Arabidopsis thaliana: one gene and its partner. The protein of the gene in region 1 interacts with the protein of each later gene in a pairwise test. Each region holds a gene or a part of one and is shown on either strand. Other genes may lie near its edges.

The links. The genes of interacting proteins can lie anywhere in the genome.
Region 2: the proteins of AT1G67530 (region 1) and AT2G41060 interact in a two-hybrid assay, tested with the Arabidopsis thaliana proteins (one large-scale study listed by BioGRID).

The regions. Positions count from the first base shown.
Region 1 is NC_003070.9:25,305,878-25,311,814, reverse strand, and holds AT1G67530 (ARM repeat superfamily protein), read right to left. Parts: upstream 4,199-5,937; 5' UTR 4,008-4,198; intron 3,995-4,007; exon of another isoform or gene 3,710-3,994; intron 3,659-3,709; exon of another isoform or gene 3,616-3,658; 5' UTR 3,587-3,615; coding exon 3,536-3,586; intron 3,312-3,535; coding exon 3,126-3,311; intron 3,036-3,125; coding exon 2,928-3,035; intron 2,811-2,927; coding exon 1,648-2,810; coding exon of another isoform or gene 1,575-1,647; coding exon 734-1,574; 3' UTR 507-733; downstream 1-506. Other genes in the region: AT1G67540 (uncharacterized protein), read left to right, coding at 1-319; AT1G67520 (lectin protein kinase family protein), read left to right, coding at 5,668-5,740. UniProt on the Arabidopsis thaliana protein: Functions as an E3 ubiquitin ligase.
Region 2 is NC_003071.7:17,125,385-17,131,069, reverse strand, and holds AT2G41060 (RNA-binding (RRM/RBD/RNP motifs) family protein), read right to left. Parts: upstream 4,082-5,685; 5' UTR 3,933-4,081; coding exon 2,577-3,932; 3' UTR 2,564-2,576; intron 2,296-2,563; exon of another isoform or gene 1,776-2,295; 3' UTR 1,313-1,775; coding exon of another isoform or gene 1,295-1,312; 3' UTR 501-1,294; downstream 1-500. Other genes in the region: EEL (Basic-leucine zipper (bZIP) transcription factor family protein), read right to left, coding at 1,295-1,312; AT2G41050 (PQ-loop repeat family protein / transmembrane family protein), read left to right, coding at 5,448-5,608. UniProt on the Arabidopsis thaliana protein: Heterogeneous nuclear ribonucleoprotein (hnRNP)-like protein that acts as a component of a complex regulating the turnover of mRNAs in the nucleus. Binds with high affinity to RNA molecules that contain U-rich sequences in 3'-UTRs.

The DNA.
Region 1 (5,937 bases):
ACGTTGGAGAGATAAGAACAAAGGGACGAATGAGAAAGAGATCACAGTTGATAGGAGCTTTAGCAGATCAGGGTCAGTTTCAGAAGAGGAGGAAGAGAAGAGGAATTTGGGGACGGAGAAGAAAGTGTCGTACAAGGAGGCATTACAGAGAGGAAGTAGTGGAGAAGATGGCGGTGGAAGCACTGGTCGAAGCAGCAGTAGCCGCAGAGATCCGATCTTGGAACTCTTTGAGACCGGATGGATTCAGAATCCCATCAAACGAAGTAGTAGAAGCGCGGATTCGCTCACCTTCTCGCGTTCTGAATCCTATTCGACCTGATTTCTTTCGAGATTTGAACCCGAGGGGTGACACAATAGCTTACATGTTTTGGTCTCTTTCAAGTACTTCTTGTATTCATTACTTTGTAAATGTCATATTCTAAGTAACCTAAGTTTAAGATTTGTTTTAAAACTTTGGATACTTATCATAGAAACATAATAAACCAGAAGAATGACAATAAGTGAATACGATGTTAAAACTGGGGTTTTGTTTTACTTGTATTTACCTTGATTGATATACATCTTTTTTTGGCTAACCAAAAGAACAACAAAAATCGAGTGTACTAATCACAATGAGACCTGTACAACATATCTTCTTCTCTATGAAATGACTTTTGTAACTTGTAAGAAAGAAAAACAAAGCTTTACATATAAAAGGTTGTACTTGTATGTACATGTGATATTTTCTTCTTTCTCACTCGCGAACCGAGTAGCTTTTCTTCCAGAAGAAGCTGAATGGTCTTGCCATCGACTTTCTTCTCGACATTGATTTCGACAGGACTCTTGGTTCATAGTCTTGAACTGAAGCTGAAGCAGGAGTTGATCCATGGACAGACAGCGGTGCTGAGAGAGATTTTCGGGCAGGTTCCTTTTGGGGTGGCTCATCTCTGTTTGAAGATGGCTGGTCCCGTTGCTGTCTTTCTTCCCTAAACAGCATTAGAAGCTTCTGAGACTTCTCTCTGCCTCGAGGTGTTCCGTTTACAGAGATTGACACTAATGATGGTATCACACCTTCTTGTAGCACCATTTGGATACAAGACTCTCTTCCATTGCATAGAATCAAAAGGCATGAAACAGCTTGCTCCTGCTCTGTTGTGTCACCCATGTCTAGCACTGTTGCTAGACTGCTGATCATGCCCTGTGATGATACCGCTTCATCTTTGCCCTCCTGGCTTGAAGCTAGATTTAGCAATACGGCTAGTGACTTCTCTATCCACAAATTTTCACCTGTTGATGCGAGAAGGCCTTGGAGGCTCTTGATGATGTTAGATGAAAGGAGAGCAGGGATATTGGGGGAATATGTGGAAAGGTTGTAGAGGGCGTGAAGAGCATCGAGCTTGCATTGGGTTTCGATTTCCTTCTGAAGAAGTTGGACAAGGAAAGGTACTGCTTGGCTTGAACCTATCACGGACTTTGCTTCATCGAGACAGGAAAGGTTCAGATAAAGCGCGGTTGCTGAACCATGGGACTCAGCAGAAGAAATCATTTTCTCCAGCAGCCGAATCACCCCAGAAGTTAACATCAACTCTTTGTTCCTTGAGAACACAAAAAGTAATGAGAAAGTCACAATCTATTATTGTATTACCAACATCAACAAGAGGTACTAACCTGTTGTTGTTGACGGCTAAATTGAACAGAGCCATAGCTCCACTATCCTGAGCTGCAGCATTGTTATCATCTACAGCTGATCCTAAGAATCGCAACAAGGCTTCAACAAACCCGTTGGCTCCCATGAAGATCCTGGCCTCTTCATCATCCTTCAGCAATAGCCTGATTTTTTCTACAACCTTGCATTTTTTCTCCAAACCCTCCTCTTCGTTTAAGACAGCCAATAAATCTTGATACCTCTCAAGTACATTTATATCAGAATCCTCCTCATCATCATCATCAGACACAAAACTTTCTTCTGTGTTTTGTCGTTCAACAACAGTAGTACCATTCTCCTCCAACGGAACAATTTTTACGCCCTTCAATTTATACGACCCTATACTGTTGACTGACTGTGATTTGGTGGACTCGGAGTCAGAGAGAGCTAGTCTCCAGTAGTCGAGGTCTTGAGATTCCGGCGGCCCACTAGGAATTTGAGTTCCATTCTGTTCACACCAGCTCGCAATAAGACCTTTAACACAGTTATTGGGAGTCAAAGAGATATGTGGGAGCTGTTGTTGAGTCTTTGGGCAAGTATTATGCCCATCACTGAACCATTTCTCAATACAGACCCGTTCATAAGTCTGCCCTGAAGCAATAATGACAGGATCACACATAAGTTGCAAAGATATGGGACATCTCAGTTCTTCGGGTGGAACAGGCATCTGTCCTGAATTTATGCTGTTCATGGGCTTGTCGTTTAAAGAACCAAACCTTGATAGCTGACGACCAAACCCATGAACACTCCCATGATCTTCATTAGGAGAACATGGATAGGAACCCGGAGAGTCATTCTCATCCAAGATCTCACTTCTGAATAGCTTGGAGCATTTTCTCATAAGATGCAGAAGATAAGCCACAATTGATTCCTTACGCTTGTCTTCTTCGGCGCGTGCCCTGTCAATGAGTTTCTTTAAAGCCCTTCGTTCTGCCAGAGCCACTCTAGAAGAAGTGATACTTAGTCTAGTAGCAGCACGGTGGAAAATTTCAAGCTCGGTGTTGTCATTACAGTTGTCAAATTTCTTCCCTTGTTGAAGCAATGCAATAATCTGATCACCGACTTCCTTCTCCGATGGATCAAGCATGAACCTGGTGTTCTCTAGTTCACCAACAATTTCCAAAATCTGAAGAAATCATACATAAAAAAAAACAGACTTCTCAACTATAAACATCATAACTATCAATCAACAAGTGGACTTATCTTAATCATCACAATGTGAAATGAACTGAGTAATAATTACCTGTGACCCAATTGAGCTAGGAACAATGTCTTCTACACGTTTAAGACCATCAATGAGAGCAATTTTTGCTTTCTCAAACTTTAAAAGAACCGCATCCCCCGTTATGGCCTGTTCACATTGGAAAATGTAGAACATTAAAGAAGCAAAACACACGAAACGAGAAAGCATAAAACTTGTCCAAAGAGAGAAAAAACTGACCAAGTAAAGTTTACTACACTCAGAACAGTGCTGAAGAATATTTTTTGCCTTCTCAAGTGCAATATGTAAAGAGCATAAGGCTTGAATCCCTGATTTGCTACGCGGTCTTGCTCCTTCCAATGACGGGAAGATTGAAAGTACCTTGCATAGAACTCCAGATAGTTCCTTGCACATATCTCCATGTAACTGTAGCAAAAGCACAAGACAATCAAATCATCAAACACCAAGAACATAAAAACACGAAACCCTCTAACAACATTGAAATCAAATGATAATAAAAAATATGTCCTTTAAGATAACCCAATTACTATTTCTAATAGAAAATTTGTTTGCAATAATCAGAGATGCAAATTTAATCAGATTCCAACAATTACAATCCGAATTCGAACATTTCAATTTAAAAACCGAACCTTGGCATCGCTAGCCGCGAATAGATTCTCTTCAAGCTCGGTCACATCCATGATCAAACCTCACCAAAACAACTCTAAAACTACAAAAATCTCCCAGAAACAAAGGAATCAATACATGAATTCAGAGAAATTATTAAAACAAACAATGAATCATGCTACAATCACAGAAATTACCTTTGCTATGAGAAAAAGATCTTAACCCAGAAAAGAGAAAGAAAAAAAAAACAGAATTTTTTATTCAAACAGCAAATCCTGGAAAAATTGCAATAACGGAACTGAAACACATCCACAAAAACCGGGAAATTCTACGATTAATAGAAAAAATTGCGAATTACATTAAAAATAAAAGAGAGCACTAAAAATAAAGCTGCGGAGAACACGTGTGGAACCAGTAACAACCAAAAATGGACAAACAAAGACAAAACAAAGAACAGAACAGAAGAGATAAGATAGAGGTCAAACATTTACATACCGGGGATATTGAGAGACCGGCCAAGGAGGAAGGTTCATAAAAGATAAACCAATAGAGAAGAATCAGACAAGTGATGATGAATTAGGGTTTTGTTCTTGGTAAGGCGATCCATGATTTTGGGGTTAAATGTGAGAGAGAGAGAGAGAGAATAAAAAGATATTCGAGTGGAGGAGGAAGTACTTAAGAATCTGTGTGTTCTGTTTTAAAAATTATTAAGTTAAGAACGGCATTACTGTGATGTTAATTAGTATTCTAATTTAAAACTAATGAACGGTTCTTTCTATAAATATTTATTTAATGTACTAGTTTTAGGAAGTTTTCCAGAGACAATATTGTAACTGGGGTTGACGTGAGTTTTCATATAATTTGTAACTTTTTGACTTTTGTTTAAAAGATTAATTTGGTTAGTTAGGAGTATTTAAGCTTTTTTGGAAGAGTTTAGAGTTTATGGTTAACCTTTTTTTTTAAGAGATTAGTGCGTTATAGTTGCAAATAGTGCGTTTTTTTCCATCAGAAAAGTTAGTGGAAACATGAACAAATTGTCAGTTAAATTATGTTATCCCACTTGAATATTTTTGCATTTTGCTTTTAATTTCTAACGGTCCACCAAATCACCAAATGGAGTATTTTAATTATTCTTGAATTAAAAACTCACTCAAAGATTTGCTTCTTCCCATCCACCCAGGCGGATTGAAGTTTTTAGCGTCTTTTTAATTATCATTTTGTATTTATAATTTATTAGATTTTTAAATTTATAATTTGAAAATTATTATCATTTATTTATTTTATATCAGACTTAAATATAAAAATATTGTTTTTGAGTTGTTATATTTGTTACCTAAATTCTTGCCAAAAAAAAAGAAAAAGAGAGAAAATCTTCTAGCTTCGAAAACATCTAATACTGTAATAGTAAAATCATTAAAACTTTTAAATTGGTTTATCAAAACTATGTCGTATATTCTTCTCCTTCTCCACGGAACCCACACATAGTAGAGAAACAATATGAGCAGTTTATCACACTCTTGAGTTACCAATTTTCTCTCATTTCTCATTATTCCTTCACTTTCTTTCGAGGTACTTCATACATAGTCGTCTTTCTCAAGTTGTTGTGGATTGTAGAGAAGACCTAATAAGCTAGAGAATGGATTCGAGGAAGTCTTTATCTTCCATCGATAGCTTCAACGATTGTTACGTTTGCTTGTAACCCAAGATTCGAAGGTCAACAATTCCACGGATGATATACCTTACTTGAGTCTTTATTTCTAACCAGTTATATGTTACAAGCTAAGTCTGATTCTTGTATTCTTTTCTACCATTGAAACCAATAAAATGGTCTCCTTACCAAGTAAAACAGGGTTATTATTATGTACTCTAACAACATTTTCCGTTCAATCAATACAAGAAGCTTTTGGATTTCTTATTTCTTTTTTTTTTTTGGGTTTTTTTCTTTCAACAAAATGATTATAAATTATTTATTTTTCTTTACCAATAAGATTTGGGGTTTTATGAACCATGATGAAATACTTTTTTGTCTTTTTATGAAGAAATGATATAACTCTGTTTCTCCTCTCTTGGTAGCAATTGGCTTTTTATTTCTCAGGTAAGTAGTCTCCCCCTTTTAAATCCTTATTGGGTGTTGTATTCTCCCAACAGGCGTGAGATGTTCGTTAAAAACAAAAACAATTGCTCAAGAGCATGGCGTCTGGTTCTGTTATGTATGTGTCTTGTTTTAGGTAATAAGAGTCAACTTCAATTTTGTGGTCACTTTCTTGCTAATTAGTTGTGATAACAGCTGTTGCTTAGAAACTTCAACGGCCAAGACTTCAATTTTGTCTCCCAGCGTAGTAGACTTGGAACTTCTGATATGACTTTGATCACAAACAAGATATATCTTTAAAAAACCACTTTAGAAAGAAATCTATTTGCCAAA
Region 2 (5,685 bases), on another chromosome or scaffold:
GTGAATAAGGGAACAAAAGTTTAAGGATGATGTTGAAAGTGGCTTCAAGTTTCAAAAAAGGAGATTAAGAAGGAGTAGATCGAGAAAAAGAGAGAAAGGAGCTTGGGTTCTCTCTGTCCAAGTGGTGGGTCTGAGACAAATCTTTGGTATGAGTAGAGAGATTATAAAACCAAACATACATGCTCTCTTCTCTTCTCTCTCTCTCTCTCTATCTCCTGAGTTTCTCCACAGGAGAGAAATAGTAGAAAGAGAAAGAGAAATAGTAGAAAGAGAGCTTATTTTGCCTTAGAAACTGTTACACTCGAACTTTAAACTGTGCCTCTGAGGACATTTCAATTAAAAGCTACTTTCTTTTAGAATAAACACAAACAAACAAAAAACAATAGTGTCCGTACTTATGATCATATATGAAAGTATTAACTTATGAACGCTTTTGAAAGTAAGTTTATTCCCTACGAATAATAAACCTAATATTCGAATCTTACAAAAAATCAAAAACATTGTGCAAGGTTATTATATAATCACTTTAGATTTGTTACATCACTTTCTCTAAAAAGACTTGTCATTCTCAAACATAAGTTTCCCAAAGTGAGTTTCTTATATGAAAAAGTGAGAATGGGAAGTAACCAAGAAGGTGTTATTGGAAAATAAACCAAAACCAAAAAATTATGATAAAAAAGATTCGTTGTATAATGGTAAAAAAAGGAGTAAAATGAGAAAAGAAGAAAGAGGAGGGGGACAAAGGGAGAAAGGGACCACATGGGAGAATCGGGGAGCTTTGCATGAAGATCCGCGTGTGCTTCCTCTTTGGGATGTTCTCCCACGTGTTTCTGTTTCCCTTTTCTCTTTCTTTATTACTCTCCTTTCTTCTTCTTATCATACAACATCAAAATGTCAAAGACTCTACTTCCTTGTATAGATTTGTCCTCAATCTGAGCAAACCCACACAGAGCATACCCTTGAACTATGTGTGGCAGCTTGATCCTGTCACATAGAGAACAAGAACATACACTCTATCTGGCTGTACCAACTTAGGTCTCCTAAGAATCAAGTGTTCAAATAGCTTCATAAGTTATCAATAACATAAGGGCCTAGAGGGCAACTAGGTAGAACCTTAGCACTTAGCATTAGAGAATGACTAAGTAGATACTCTGGTTCCTATAAACTAAGCTCTGATTCAACATACAAAAGAAACAGTTCAAACCGAGAAGCACGCTTGTGTAAGAACTTAACACCATCAATTCAATGTTCTATAGTTAATACAAATCTTCACAATGCAAACAGTTATACTCACCTTTAACTGGGAAGACATTTCAGAGCTCCCATGATGCCACAGCAAAACACCAATTCCAGCTGTGTTACCAAACTCGGTGTTATTCTAAGGCACATTACCAAATTTTTTGAGATGTGGTCAAATGGAAAGCTCATTCAAAGCTATAGAAACAGTAGAGAACTCCAAGGACACACAAGAAACAAGCTGCTCTAAATCAAGTCAAAAACTTGACATGTGCAGGTCAAGACTTGTTGATACTTATTAGTACAAAACAAAACAAGTTGCTCTTTTGGATTCAGGTAGATGCCTAGCTAAGTTAAACAAGAAAACAACTTTTGCTTAATTCGTTCTTTAGTTATAAAGCTACCAATTCATAGATTCATCCCTTTTCACTTTTCAGTATATATAAAAGAAAAAGCAGATAGGTGGCATTCAAATATTTGGTACCCCATAGATTTTTGTTGGGCGTAAGTGTTGACCGTTCAGCTTGCTCTTAAATTACCTGCAAGAGGAATAAGGATTAAGCAGATATAATATGTGGTAATCAAGATAAGCCGTTATGTACATATGCATAGTGATGTGTGATCATACTCTCACAAGGTCAAAATCTTAAGAGGAATTACGTGCATGGAAAAATTCCACAAAACCGCGAAACATAGCGAGAACCAATAAAAACGAGTCTGATTAAGAGAAAATGGAAAATACGGATTCAAACATAGTGAAAGCGTTTGTGTGTCCATGAGGAACACTGTTTAAGTTTTACAAATGAAAACGTTCCCAAAAGTTTAAAACAGAAACGATAGTTGTTAAATCAGAACAGTGTATTTGGGATATCATAAAAAGAGTTGAGAAAACAAGTAGGGGAAAACTAAAACTTCTTGAAAGGTTTGAAGAGTCATGTATTTTGAAGACACGAAAGAGTAACATTTCATCCAAAAACTAAACAACTCCATTTGCATCAGCTCCTTAATAACTTCAGAAGATTCACCAGGCCAATTTTAAAAAGTACTGTATTGGAATATCTGCACAATGAATTAAGAAATTAAGAGAAGACTTTTATAAACTGATGCAAAACCTAACACCCTTCAGAAACACAACAAAGTCACAGGAACTTTGAAAACAAAATGATCTTGCAACGCAAAAAGTTTAACATAATGGAGTAACCATGAAAAGGTCAAAATACAGCAAGTCCATGTCTTGAAATACACAAGGGAACCAAGCGAACTACAAAAAAAGTCTTCTGATACAGAACATCAATGAAATAGATGAAAAGAAGCTGAAAATAATTACCTGAGTGGCTAATCTAACGACCCATGTAAGGACCACCATACCCAGCACCATGCTGCCCTCTTCCCGCACCGCCCTGACCAGGTTGCTGAGTCTGATAACCGCCCTGGTACCCGGCTTGAGCACCGTACCCAGGATAGACCCCAGGTGAGATATTTGCTTGAGTACCATAGCCACTTGGCATTCCACCTACAGCTCCTGGGCTAGCTGTCCCTAATGTCCCCAACAAAGCCTGCCCAAATGCTTGGTTTAAACCCAACCCAGCACCCTGAGATGCCAGCAAAGCTGTGAGGGCCTGGCCAATGGCCGGATTAAACGCCTGCACAGCTTGGTTATTACCAGCTATGAAATGTCCATGGCCTCCAGGGGCACCATAACCATTGTTGTCGTTCCTTTGGTAACGGGAATTTTGATTGTGAGAGTTATGGTTATGTTGATGTTGCTTAACCTGTTTTGGCCCATCATTTGCTTTGTGGCAATGCAAGACATGGCCTTCAAAAGTCTTGTGTGGCTCCTCCAATGCCTTCTTGGCACTTTCTAGGGATCTATAGACAAACAAAGCGAAACCTTTAGGTCTCCCAGTAGCTTTATCAAGCCCCAAAGGACCTTCTTCTATCTCCCCAAACCTTGAGAAAAACTCCAGCAACTTCTGCGGATCAATGTCTGCACTAACGTTACTGACATAAATCTTCCTCTGAACATTCTCAGGATTGAAATGCTGAGCAGGAGCCACAACAGGGTTCCCCTGAACAGGTCCTATAGACGCCAGCTGGCACGCAGTCATACGAGTTCCAATCTTCTTCTGAGGCTGCTTAAGAGCGTTACGAGCACCAGACCTTGACTTAAAGAGGATAAAGCCATAACCTTTAGATTGCCCAGATACCTTATCAACCACACATTTGCAATCTTCAATCTCTCCGTACTGTTTAAAAGCGTCGATAAGTGAATCAGCTTTAGTATCCCATCCAAGCCCGTGAACGAAGATCTTACGATGAACAAGATCTTCATCCGCCACAATCCGGATTCGATTAGCTACATCGCGATGTCTCTCTGCAGCTTCCTTGAGAAGAATCAAAAGTTGATCCTTTGAAAACGGTTCCAATAGATCCTCAATAGGTTCTTCTTCGTCATCATCCTCATTTCCTTGATTCCCAGATCCGGACGACGTCTCCGCTTCTATGTTATCTTCACCTTTAGCTTCCTCTTCGTGCATCTCCTTTAGTGTGTCTTGCTCTACTACTTGTTCGTCGTCGTCTCTTTGATTATCAACATTTCTGATTTCCGGATCCTCTTTTTCACATTGCTGCTGCTGCTTCTCCGTCGGCTCTGACGTTTCGTTGGATTCAGATTCGAGCTTTCTCTTCTTTGTCATAACGGAATTGGCGGTTTTAATGGTTGATTTGAAGAGAGCCCTCTAGGGTTTTGTGATTTCTGGTTCTTCTCCAAAAAAATTGATTTTTTGATCCTCTTCGCTTGAAATTGTGAAGCTTAACGATTCGCGGAAGCGTGAAGACAATTCTTGTCTTATTGAGAAACAAAAAAAAATATATAACAAGAAGACGCCTATTGGGCCTTGAATTATTATGTCACATGGACTTTTGAGGCCCATATAGAATGTACCATGACTTTTGGGTTCATCTCCAATTGACCAGTCTTGCATTAGCTTAGCCCAAAAAGATATACTAATATTAATTATTTCTAATTATTCCATCAATTATTATCCATTTATCTCATTATTATATGGTAAAATAATAGATTCCTCACAAATTTTACCATTTACAATGAAATATAAAATAAATAAAAAAAGAATAATGAGAAAAGTTTCCAATAAAAGATATAAAATATAATTAATTTCTAATTATTCCATCAATTATTATTTATCTCATTATTTTGGTAGACATGCACCCAATATATCCTACTAAATTATGGCCAACAAATTTCCGGCGACGTGACATAAAGAAAAACAATTTCAAAACAAACAGAATAGGACTAAAATCGATGATACCAAATCCACTACTCTTTAGCGACAATAATGCTAAAGAAATAAAACTCTAATAAAAATAAGACCACGGAAAAAAAGATATAAAATATTTATTTGTAGTTTGAAGGAATATTGGAGTAGAAAACTCTTTTAACTCTTTATTTCGTTCAGATGGTGATTTGTGTTTTCCAGAAGGAACACATGATGATGATATATAAATCGCCATAAAACAGCAAAGAGACAAACGAATAGCAGTCACCAGAGCTACCTCTTTAACGCTTAAAGGCCTCTCCTTTAAAATCTCCCGGATAATTCTTCCAAGTATAAACCCGTCGACTCATTCATTCACGGGTTTCGTTTCTTTCTTCTGGAAAAGGTGACAACTTTTTTCTGTTTTTTTTTTATAATAAAAGGTGACAACTTTCTCTTCCATTGATGTGTAAACGAATAGTCGAATACGAATTCGTTTCTCTTAATGTATTAGGGAATCGATTTCTCTTGCTTTTTATGAAACCGGATATTTCAGGCTGCGAATAGATTATTTTAACAATGGTGTTGATATGTGAATGTCGAAACCAGATTTTGTGTAACGTTTTCGATTTTGTTGCTTTTAATGGAAGAATCTGAATCCTGAGGGTGTGATTTGGGTTTTGGGGGAATATTCACTTTGTGGGGTCTTTTTGTTTGTGAATCTAGTATATTGAATTATTGTCGGAATTAGAAATCTTTTTTAATTCTCTAGGATTCGTTTTCTACTCTTTCAAATGTGGTCATTCTAGTGTAAATGTTTTTCCTTTTCGTCTTCTAACACTTTTTTCTAGTTTGCACAATCAAAAAGACGTTACCTTTGCTCATTAAGGGACTTGTTTGATTTTTGGGTTTAACAGGTTTTTGGCTGTGAAGAAGATGTTTCTCCACAGCAGTTTTAGAGATGGATTGTCATTGTCTCTTGGTATCATCAGTGTTATCAGTTGGGGTGTTGCTGAGATACCTCAGATTATGACTAATTACAGTGAGAAATCCACTGAAGGTCTCTCTATTACCTTCTTAACAACGTGGATGATTGGGTAAGATGATCATAAGAAGAAGACAAATGCTTTTACTTTTTACTTGTTCCTAGGGTGAACTGACTTTTGGTTTTGAT